Drosophila melanogaster: one gene and its partners. The protein of the gene in region 2 interacts with the protein of the main gene of each other region in a pairwise test. Each region holds a gene or a part of one and is shown on either strand. Other genes may lie near its edges.

The links.
Region 1: the proteins of vilya (region 2) and nenya interact in a two-hybrid assay, tested with the Drosophila melanogaster proteins (2 studies listed by BioGRID).
Region 3: the proteins of vilya (region 2) and mei-P22 interact in a two-hybrid assay, tested with the Drosophila melanogaster proteins (one study listed by BioGRID).

What each region holds. Positions count from the first base shown.
Region 1 is NT_033777.3:27,926,857-27,930,154, reverse strand, and holds nenya (nenya), read left to right. Parts: upstream 1-1,980; 5' UTR 1,981-1,998; coding exon 1,999-2,658; 3' UTR 2,659-2,798; downstream 2,799-3,298. Other genes in the region: mino (minotaur), read right to left, coding at 10-174, 807-924. UniProt on the Drosophila melanogaster protein: Required for the formation of DNA double-strand breaks together with narya and vilya during the meiotic recombination process. Plays a redundant role with narya in chromosome segregation during female meiosis.
Region 2 is NC_004354.4:2,724,769-2,728,304, forward strand, and holds vilya (vilya), read left to right. Parts: upstream 1-1,909; 5' UTR 1,910-1,938; coding exon 1,939-2,459; intron 2,460-2,523; coding exon 2,524-2,716; 3' UTR 2,717-2,800; downstream 2,801-3,536. Other genes in the region: fs(1)Ya (female sterile (1) young arrest), read left to right, coding at 1-1,723; dwg (deformed wings), read left to right, coding at 3,064-3,495. UniProt on the Drosophila melanogaster protein: Required for the formation of DNA double-strand breaks during meiosis together with narya and nenya.
Region 3 is NT_037436.4:7,242,679-7,245,941, forward strand, and holds mei-P22 (meiotic P22), read left to right. Parts: upstream 1-1,709; coding exon 1,710-2,705; downstream 2,706-3,263. Other genes in the region: Neos (neosin), read left to right, coding at 1-375; mRpL50 (mitochondrial ribosomal protein L50), read right to left, coding at 527-956, 1,016-1,125, 1,182-1,211; Cdc27 (cell division cycle 27), read right to left, coding at 3,154-3,263. UniProt on the Drosophila melanogaster protein: Required for formation of the mei-W68-mediated double-strand breaks (DSBs) that initiate meiotic recombination.

The DNA of each region.
Region 1 (3,298 bases), on a different chromosome or scaffold from region 2:
GTCACCCACCTGTCGGTACTCGAACTTCTCGCTGCGCACCACCTGGGCAACATATGGGAAGAGCACGCCCCAGTCGAATAGCTTCTTAAAAGGCTTCTGACCCGAATGCGGGGTCAGCTCCAACATATTCTGCGTCCCAATGCCATGAGCCACCGAATTCTGCGTCTTGGGCTCCTGCAATGAAACGATCGGAACAATTCTGTGATTGTGATGCAACTGGCATGCATATAGACGTCATGCAGGCGGGTCAATTGGTACCTCGAACCAGCCGCGAGCGTGAAACTCCTCCATGGGCATTCCAGCCAAGAGATTCTACCGTTCTACAGCACTTTCAAATTGTAAATTTATAATTTACGCATTTACCCATGCGCCCGGCTTTTTTTGCAGGAAATCGACGGCCGATAAGTCCTTCTCAGCTTTCAGGATTGTTATCGATTGGCAGGATGATGTGGCAACGCCACGAGTATTTAATTTAAAATAGTGCAAACTTTTAGAAAAACGTTTGTTTTGAACATTTAAATTTAGTTACAAATTGTATTTGTAATTTGTATTTGTACATCAATAGATTTAAAAATCAATGTTTTGATGTCAAGTAAATGTTTTTAAGGTAATTTTTTGGCAAATATATTAATCACTCTGCGGACTTTGACTGAATTGCAATACGGATACGGTATTTACAATTCATTGAGTGGAAATGTTTGCTTATCTGCGATACTAGACACTCCCTGCAATTGCGTCACGGCGTGTACTACGTGGTGGGGTTAACTTTATTGGAGGATGGGTGCTTGATAAGCGGGGAAACTTACATTGGATGATCGCAAAGTGACCAGAAGATCGCTGCGTATGGTGTTGATCTTGCTGAGGTAGCTCGTCCGGTAGCTCAGATTCAGATTGGGAAACAGGCTAGCGATGATTACCGGTGCCCTGCAATCGTAATCGGATGGATTCGGATGGCGTTACAATCAATCATTATCAATAAATAAAATAAAGTAGCACCAACGCGGGTGGTGCTGCAATCAAATCAGGAGCACGCAATTAACAATACAACACCTCTTCGATTATTATTCGGCTACTTGAGCGGTCTACAGTCCAACTTCGCCAGAGTTCATTAGCCCAGCGCAGTCATCAGCGGGTATATATTTTTATATGGAAAGTCGTGTATGTTTTTGAGTAGTGCCGCTATTGATAAGTGTTTAGTTGTTCATAAAATATGGCGCAGAACTGAACTTTGAGCGCGCTTTGTATGGCTTTTATACATACAATAATATCATTATATTTGATTGAAAATCAGCTGACATGTTCAGAGGCTAAACATTTGTTCGCTATTGTGTAAAAACGATCTTTTTTTTTAACATATGTTTCTCAAATGCTATATGACGAACTTCTGACGGCTTGTTTATAATTCCAAATATAATTCTAATTTATTTGAACAATAAAGGGAGTGGTTAACGGGCTCTTAATCTTTAGGTGAACTTGAAACCATACTTCAACTATCAAAACCAGACGGATGCCTGAGTAAATCACAAATAATAACATCAGCGTTCGCTTTTACGGTCGCATTACGTTAAAAAGCACGTTTTCCTCTCATCAAGTTTTTAAATACCCCAATCTGTTTACGCTTAATTATTTTGTCACGGAACCTTTTCTTGATTAGACGACTACTCGATTGTAAAGCAAATTCGTATACAAATTCCACCATTTATACGCTTAAGAATAGAAATTTATTCAATTTTGGAATCGAAAGCCAAATTTGGAATTATGGTGCCAAATCTAAACAATAAAACAAAGAAGTCTGTATTTCCTGCACCTTTCAAAGAAATAAGTTCATTATAAAGAGTCTTCACTGCATTTCAATTGGGGGACAGTGCTGCCAGAAGCGCAGCCACCGTAGTGGCCAGACTGAAAAGGATAAAAACCGTTAGATTACAGACGCTCCAAAGCAGCTGATTAAAGTTCAACAAACTCTTAGTTTACAAAGAAAAACAATTGGTTTTTGGAATGTTTCGAATCCACTGCAACAAATGCTTTCGACGCCGCAACGTCGAGCCAACGTTGATCTTCCACATGACCCAGTGCCAACACGTCCTCTGCGCCTCCTGTCTGAGCGAATCCTCGACAGATAAGAAGTGCCCACTGTGCAAACGGGATCTGCGAGCGATTCCGATCGACAAAAACTTGCCTCCAAACGTGGCCCAATACTTTGAGGATCCGCTTCGATTCCAGCAGCTCTACCGCAAGATCAGCAAGTTCCAGGCCGACCAGCGGGCATCGGACAACCTGGGATTCTATCGCCAGATGCAGGAGCACGAGAAGAACGAGAGCCGCTTAAAGGGCTTCTGCAAGATGGAGGCGCAGTTCAACCAGCAGATCCAAAAGGAGAAGGAACGGATCGCCGAACTTCGCGCCTACATAAAGTACCACGAAGAGGAGGGTCTCAAGGAGTGGCCACACGCCACGGGGGTTGAGAAGCCCTGGAGCAACCAGGCACGTGGCCTGCGGCCCAGGACACCCTCTGTGACCACATCGGATAATACCCAGTCGGATGAGCACATGACAACCTTCTGCCTGGACTCGGACATAGATTGCCTTGAAGAAGACGAACCCCGCCGATACGTCAAGAAAACCTTTAACGGAAACATCAAAGATTTTCACATATAATCACTTCTTTCCACAAGTTTTCCTTAACTACAACTAGATTATTAAGATCATTACAGTGTAAGTAATATTAAAATTGGTGCCAGGAGAACTTTAAGCAGAGATCGATGATACCATAACATAAATTTAAATCCAGTATCAGCAATCTTTGCGCTAATCTTAGAGTGGACTTCACAATCATCTCGAGCTGTGGAAAATTTCTTTTTTTTAGAGGTCTAGGACAAGTGGATCACCACTTTGGATTATTACTTTACTTTTATTGCCCACCGATACGAGATGAATGCCACGCTTTCTTTGTGGCCCCCAAAGCTGGTCGAAATCCAGCAAGATTGCGAGAATAGCCATTGTGCAATCTTAATCAGATAATTGGGTACGAATTTAACAGCGGCAATCGTTCCGATAATTGTTGCCAAGAATGATTTGGGGGCGAAATGTGGGTGGGGGATTCGTTGGCTATCACTGCGAGTGCACCATCGCCAATTGCGCCTTGCAAAGAGAGTACTCGATGGGCAGTGGGCGGCAGGAGAGAGGGGAGCTGCTGAGGGCGGGAGAAAGTGTTTGTGCCGGAGCAAACAACACTATTTACGCCCGGGTGACGTCAATCGGTGACCAATGACCCAGGGCAGCCTCCCAGTGCCAGTTA
Region 2 (3,536 bases):
CGTGGACCAGCAGCAGAGCTGCACTGATGTCACCGGCGCCACGGAGACATCGAAGGCGACGCTAAAGAAGGCAGCGAATAGCACCGCCATTTCAACGCAAACGTCGCCGTCCGTAACGCCCATTTCACTGATCAACATGCGCTGGAAGGCCAAGAGCCGTGTCACCCACGAGGAGTTCATCAGCGACAGCGTCTCCTCCATACGCAACCTGTCGTCGTTCAGCAACAGCTCCATTCGTCGCTCCATTGGCCAACTGGGCGTGAATCCGTCCGAAACGATGGAGAAGGGCAAGGTCATACGCTCGACGTCCACACCACTGCACGTGGAGTCCGTGTTCGCCAAGCCCAAGGAGCCGATTACCTTCAATGCTTCCACTGGCGGCCACGTGTCCAGCATCTACCACGAGGAGCCCAGTCCGACACCCGAAAGCAATCCCGTCCAGCAGCAGCAGCAGCAGCAGCAGCCGTTGCAGCAGCGCGCCTGGAAAATGGGCGCCCGCAACAAGATGAGCGCCGCAACGCCGCTGCGCCAGGTCATGTCCAAGAGCATTCAGAAGGCCTTCGTCGAGCACGGCGGCATGATGGTCCACCAGCCACCATCCGCAGTGGTGCAACGTCGCGTGCGCCTCGATCTCAGCGAGCACAGTTCGCACGAGGCAGCAGGCTCGTCCGCTCTGGACCTGCGACTCTCGCCAGCTATGCGGCGCACCCAGAGCGAGTCCAGCGCCTCGGAGGTCAACAGCGGCAGCAGCTCCAGCTACAGCACCTCGCGGAATGCCGATCTATGCAAGCGGCAGTTCTTGCTGTCCGCACAGAAACTCACCACCGAGTCGATCATCATCACGCGGACGAACTCCAGCTCACAGAAGACCTCTTCCACGGTGTACAACTCATGCGAGAGCGTCGAGATCATACGCTCCACCTCGGAATCAGCGGAAGTGTGCCACGTGCCGGCCATAACGCCCATCCGTGTCACCGGTGCCGGCATCAACAAGAAGCAGATCAAGTTCGAGACGCCGCCCAAGAGCAGCCAACAGATGCGATCGAATGGCGAGGGCGATGAAACCAAGGACCAGTTTTTCACGCCGGAACCGGGAACGCCGGAAATTCCAGAGCGTCGTCATCGCCAGGCGATTGTGCCGCGCCAGCTGAGCGGCGAGTTTTCGCCCAAGAAGGATAAGCCGAAGGAGAAGGGGCTGGCGGTGATGGCCCTGATCTCGCCGCCATTGCAGCAACCCAGGGTGCGTCCTCCGTTGCGGGAATGCCGTCAGCAGAGGGTCTATAGCGGCGTGCAGGATGTGGGCGAGCCGGAGGTCGTGGACGCAGAAGAGGAGGACGAGGTGTTCCGCCCCACAAACGCCTCCACGTGCAACGACAAAAAGCTGGAGGCGCCCAACTCCGGTCGCCTGTGGTCGCTGATGAGTTCCATGATGCGACTGCCGGCCAGCTTGCGCGGCGAACGCGAAAAGGACAGGGACAGGGACAGGGATTCGGATAAGGAGAACGCTGGTTCGGGCTCACTCATCCGTCGCTGCGCCTCCATCGCTGGATCCCTGGTGCGCCCCAGTGCAAGGGACTCCTCCATGGAGGACCAGCAGTGCCTCAAGAGAAAGCGCACTCAGACGCTGGACAGCCAGTACTGTAGCCCGCTGTCGCCGTCCAGCTCCTCGAAGCGCTACCGCATCCGGCCCAGGGAGCCCATCGAGCGCATGCGTCGCCAGTAGGTTTTAAGCTTTTGCCTGCGAATCTGTGTTTTAATTGTGAAATTCTTCTTTTTTTTTATCGTTTAATAAATGTTTGGTCTTGCATTAACCGTTATGCGCAGCAGGAGTTGGCAGGTCCAGGAGCTTAGCTCGTCTCATTCAGAGCTGCCAACTCTATCTATTGATTCTGTTATTAATTAGTTGCGCACAAGATCGAAAAGCTTAACGGAGCGCCCATGGCGAAATCACAAGCAGGTCAGACTGTCGAGCCGGAGGCGTCCAAGCTGTGGATCCACTGCAACAGCTGCTGCGCCCTGTTCTGCGATAAGAAGCACACCTTCTTCCTGCTCGCCTGCCATCACGTGTTCTGCGAGCGGTGCGTCAAGGTCTCCGCCGGCCGCACGCCCAGCGACGCGCCCATATTCGAATGCTCCACCTGTCGGCGGAGCGTGCGCGGCCGCCAGTTGACCAACTCGATGCCCAACCACTTCAAGCAGCTCTTCCATCCGGAGCCCTTCACCATCGGCAACGACTTTGTGGAGACGTTCCAGCGCGGCAATCATCGGCACTTCGACAAGTACAAGGAGAGGAAGGAACTGGAGATGGATAAGCTGTTCAAGGACATCGAGGTGGCCAAGTCCGTGTGCCAGAAACGCTTCCTGGAGGCGCAGATGCTGCGCGTGGAGCGCAAGAAGCTGATGCAGAGGTCGCGCTACATTAAGGCGGAAGTCGCCAATCGGAAGGCGGAAATGCATCGGTGCGACATTTGGATTCCATTGAAAATAGTTCCCATTAATGCATTATATTTCTACCCGCCTTAGGATGGCCCAGGCCTACCGAAGCCGCTCGCTGACTTCGCAATCCTCGTCATCCGCCCAACGCTCGGCGCGCGGACGTCCTCGTGGCCGTGGAACAGCCACACAGTCCTCCAGTCGACGCCGATCAACGGAATCAGCAAAGCGGCAGCAAATCACCAGCTTCATACACCCGCCGAACAACTCGTTCGATCTGTGAGCTAGTGCTGATAGGTAAAGCTCTGTTTTACAACCGAGTATATATTTTTTGTAAATAATCAGCTTAAAACAATAAAATGGTGTCATAAGCTTTAAAATAATAAACTGCTAAGTTAACAGCGACCGTTAAGTTTCAATTAACAGTTTCGTTAGGATAACAGAAGTGTTGAAAGTGAATTCGATTAATCGAAATCCATCGATGACTGCTGCACCGATAATATCGCATAAGCATCTGCTCTAAAAACGCATAAAAATTGAATTGCAAGAAGTAGAAGAGCGAAACGTCATAAAAGCGGCAAATCCGGCGCTGTCCGACAAGAACCACAGGGGAAAGCGGATAAGGACATCATGATGAATAGCAAGATCGCCGAGGTAGTGGTGCTCAACTGCCGGACGTGCACGCGTGCCTGCAAGCTGCACAAGCCGCTGCAGGAGGAGATCGATCTGGGTTCGGAGGGCAGCACCACGCTGGCCAGCATGCTAAACTACTGCACGGGACTCTCGTTCGAGCCGCAAGACGGCGCCGCCATGCCGCAGCACATCTGCCTCCACTGCCTGCAGCTGCTGGAACAGGCGTTCAACTTCAAGCGCATGGTCATCGATTCGGACGAGCTGCTCCGCCTGGGCCTGGACGAGGCGCGCTGCTCCAGCTTTCACGAGAGTCAGACTCATAGCCCCAACCAGAGCCAGCAGCACGACCAGCAACAGCAGGCGTTCGACTCCACCGAGGAGTACGTCATGATCGAGATGCTCAACGAGGAGCAGGAGAACGTCGCCAATGTAAGTATCTATCACTTCACGGTGCAATGGAATGCAATGGT
Region 3 (3,263 bases), on a different chromosome or scaffold from region 2:
CGACATCCCCAGGAAATGCAGGGGCTGCTGGAAAGGCTGGCAGACAATCATCCATTGACCGCGTCGCAGTACGAGGTGATTCTTAAGTACCTCGAAGGCGAACGCGAGGAGCAACTGAAGCGAGAGGTGGGCGAGGCCAATGCTCTGGCCAAGCTAAAAGCTCCCGATCCAGAGATCGAGCTGCAGAAGAAGATTCTTAGCATCATGAACAAGCCGGCAGTAACCGATGTCACCAGCGAGCTCATGTATCCCACTTTCGAGGCAGTCAAGGAGGACAGAAGGCTAATGGAGCTACTTGCTGACGATCGAGTGTTGGCGGCCCTGGAAAGTGTTTACAACTCGGATCTCAGACAGATTTTAGCCGAGTATTTATAGACTACCAATACTTAGTAGTATTCATTAATTTTAGCCATTAAGCATATTTAACATTTAATAAATGTAATACCTAATATATATGACGTAAATCTCGGGCTTCCAGAATGCATTTAATAAGTGTAAGACATTAACAACTAACAATTGGCTGTTTCTAAGGCCAGGATCGCTTGGCTTCGTGTCCCTCGTACTTTCCACGGTACTTGAGACCGGTGACTAGGGTGGAGCTCTTGGGGAAAGCCGTTTTGCCGTCGAATTTGGTATCTGTCTCGGGATGGAATCGCACGTACTCGTACTGGATGTGCAAATTCTCCGGCAGCTCGATGCGCTTCAGTGCATCAAACGGCACGGTGGTGTCCACAGCTGTTTGGTAGAAAGCGATAACATCGCTGACGGTGCGCAGTTCATGTACCTGGGAGTTGGGCACTCCGTGCTGCAGCTCCTGGAAGCACGCGTTCAGGAATTCGAATTTCTCGGAGAGATTCCCCAACTGGTCGGATTTCAGTTGAAGCGAGGCGGCTACGGTTCGAATACGTTCGGCGGCATCTGCAGGTGGGGAGTACGGCTTATGGGGACGCAAGAAGCTACAATCAGGAGAATATTTACTTGGTTTTTATGTAAATAAATTAAAGAAAGTGCTTACCCCTTGGCGGCGATGGACTCGCCGACAGCTGAAATGGTGCTGGTTTTGACGGGCTTTGCTTTTGCGGCCTTGGCGGCGGAGGCAAAACTCCTATGCAGGCTTCCCGCAAGCTAAATTCATGGTGGCATTGGATTTTAAGTGAACATTTTTATTATTTTTTACTTACAATTAGGGTTTTACGTAAAATCGCTGCCATTGGATGTGACCAGATTGAAAACAATGCGGCATGGCAGTCAATACTGAAAATATATTCACTATACTTACAGGTAAGGAGATGGTAACACAAAAATACTGCATTGAGCGTTGCCAGGTGGACTCACTGTTTACCCACTGTTAAATTTATAAACAAACTTAAAAAAAATGAAAACATTATGAGTATTGAGTTATTTTTAGTCGAAGATCTATCTCATAATAGTCTTTCTTGAAACAAATTTTAGTTTAAGCAACAATAAGTGATAGGATTTTATTTTAAAAATATATTACCTCATCAATTTCAATTTAAATCTAAATTCGACATAACTTTACGAACGATAACTTTATTAAATTGCGTGGCAGCTCTAAGCTTTTGTCGATAATAAGGTCCTGTTATTCAATTGATAAGTCCTGCTATCGCGCCAACTGTTATTTTTTTATAATTTTGCATTGAATAATAGTTTTAAACTACATTGGTGTTCTTTATGTAGTATAAAACAGTATGGACAGGACAACAGTTGTCCCGAGTCCGGCCTCCACCTACTGCTCCTTTATGGGTGGCTCCCAGCACTCCCCATTGCGGCGATCACAGCGCCTCATCGACAAGGAAAACCGGGATCTGCAGAAGATTCCGCCCAAAAGTCTTTCTCCTCAGTTATTTGGAAACACTGAAGATGATTACAGTGAACTATTGTTGCAGCAAGGGAAAGTGGTTCACCTGAAGCCTGCAGCTAAGTTGGTGCCCGTGAGATCCTCGGATAATCTAGTCCATCTTGGATCCCGGGATAAAGTTGTCCCCTTGAAAACTTCCAATAGAATCGTTCACCTGAAGCCTCCATATAAGATTATCCACCTCAAAAGTTTAGATGAAGTTGAAAAGACCGTAAAGAAGAAGAATAATATTCAGAAAGAAGTTCATCAAAGGAATTCACAAAGGAGAAGCATTCAATGCACTCCCAAAAAACGTGGTCGAAAACCAAAGCAACCGGCTAAGAAACTGCAGTCAAGAATTTCCACCGATCAGCTAGGAAGCACACCATCGCCATCCAAGCTGCCTGCCAAATATCCCGCCCATTTTGTTCATCAACTTCCGCCCGCTGAGGATTCCAGCTGTGCCACTCGAAGACGATCCTTATCTGCTCCAGCTATGCAACTTAGCGATCTAAGCCTCACACCCGATGAGATCCAAACTCCGGAGCGGCGCGGTGAAATCGTAAACAAATCGCCATCGGATCTCGACTCCGATGTCTCCTTGAACTTCTCGCTGTCCGATTCCATTGGCGAGATCTTCGGCACCAAGGACATCAGCAGCATTCTGACCATGCAGCGGCCGCGTCAGTACATTTTGCTGGAGGAGCATCTGCCCACACTGGCCACCATGTTGAACGTTGACTTGGAGCGACTGCGCTGCGTGCTGGATATCACTCAGGGCTTGAGCCACGAGCAAATCCTGCGCTTTCCGATAAAACATGAAGAGGATGAATTGGAAGTACCTTAGATATGATGGGGAACTTATAGCAGTAGTATAATGTTTTCACTTTGAATAGTTTTAATGTCCAAGTCCAACATATTTAATTCCCATAAGATCCTTGTTGCTTTAACTTAACATTTAAAATGTATATCTCCCTTTTTTTTTGTATATTTTTAAGTGGTATTTAATTGTTGTTGTTTTTTGTTGTTGTTGTTTCTTTTTCGTTATTTTGCCTTAGACTTTCAGAGTGCACAATTTTTGTTTAAACCATTTACTTTTTTGTATATTTTAAATTACTAATGCTAAACGTTATCTAGACTTTATCATACTTCATAATTGGTTTCCTTTCCTCCACGACAATACAGCAGCAATCGATCGGGGTTTTTTTTTGTATCTGTTACTAAGTTTTCTTTTTTGTTTACTGTGTTTCTCATTTAACGTATATACAACCGCGTGAATTTGGAGTTGCAGCTCCCTAGTAGTCGCTGTCGTAGCTTCCGTCCTGCTGCGCCTGCGTCGAGTCATCGGAACGCTCCGAAGTGGGCTCCAGATCAACGTCCAGGGCCGTAGTGTTGGCCGGACAGC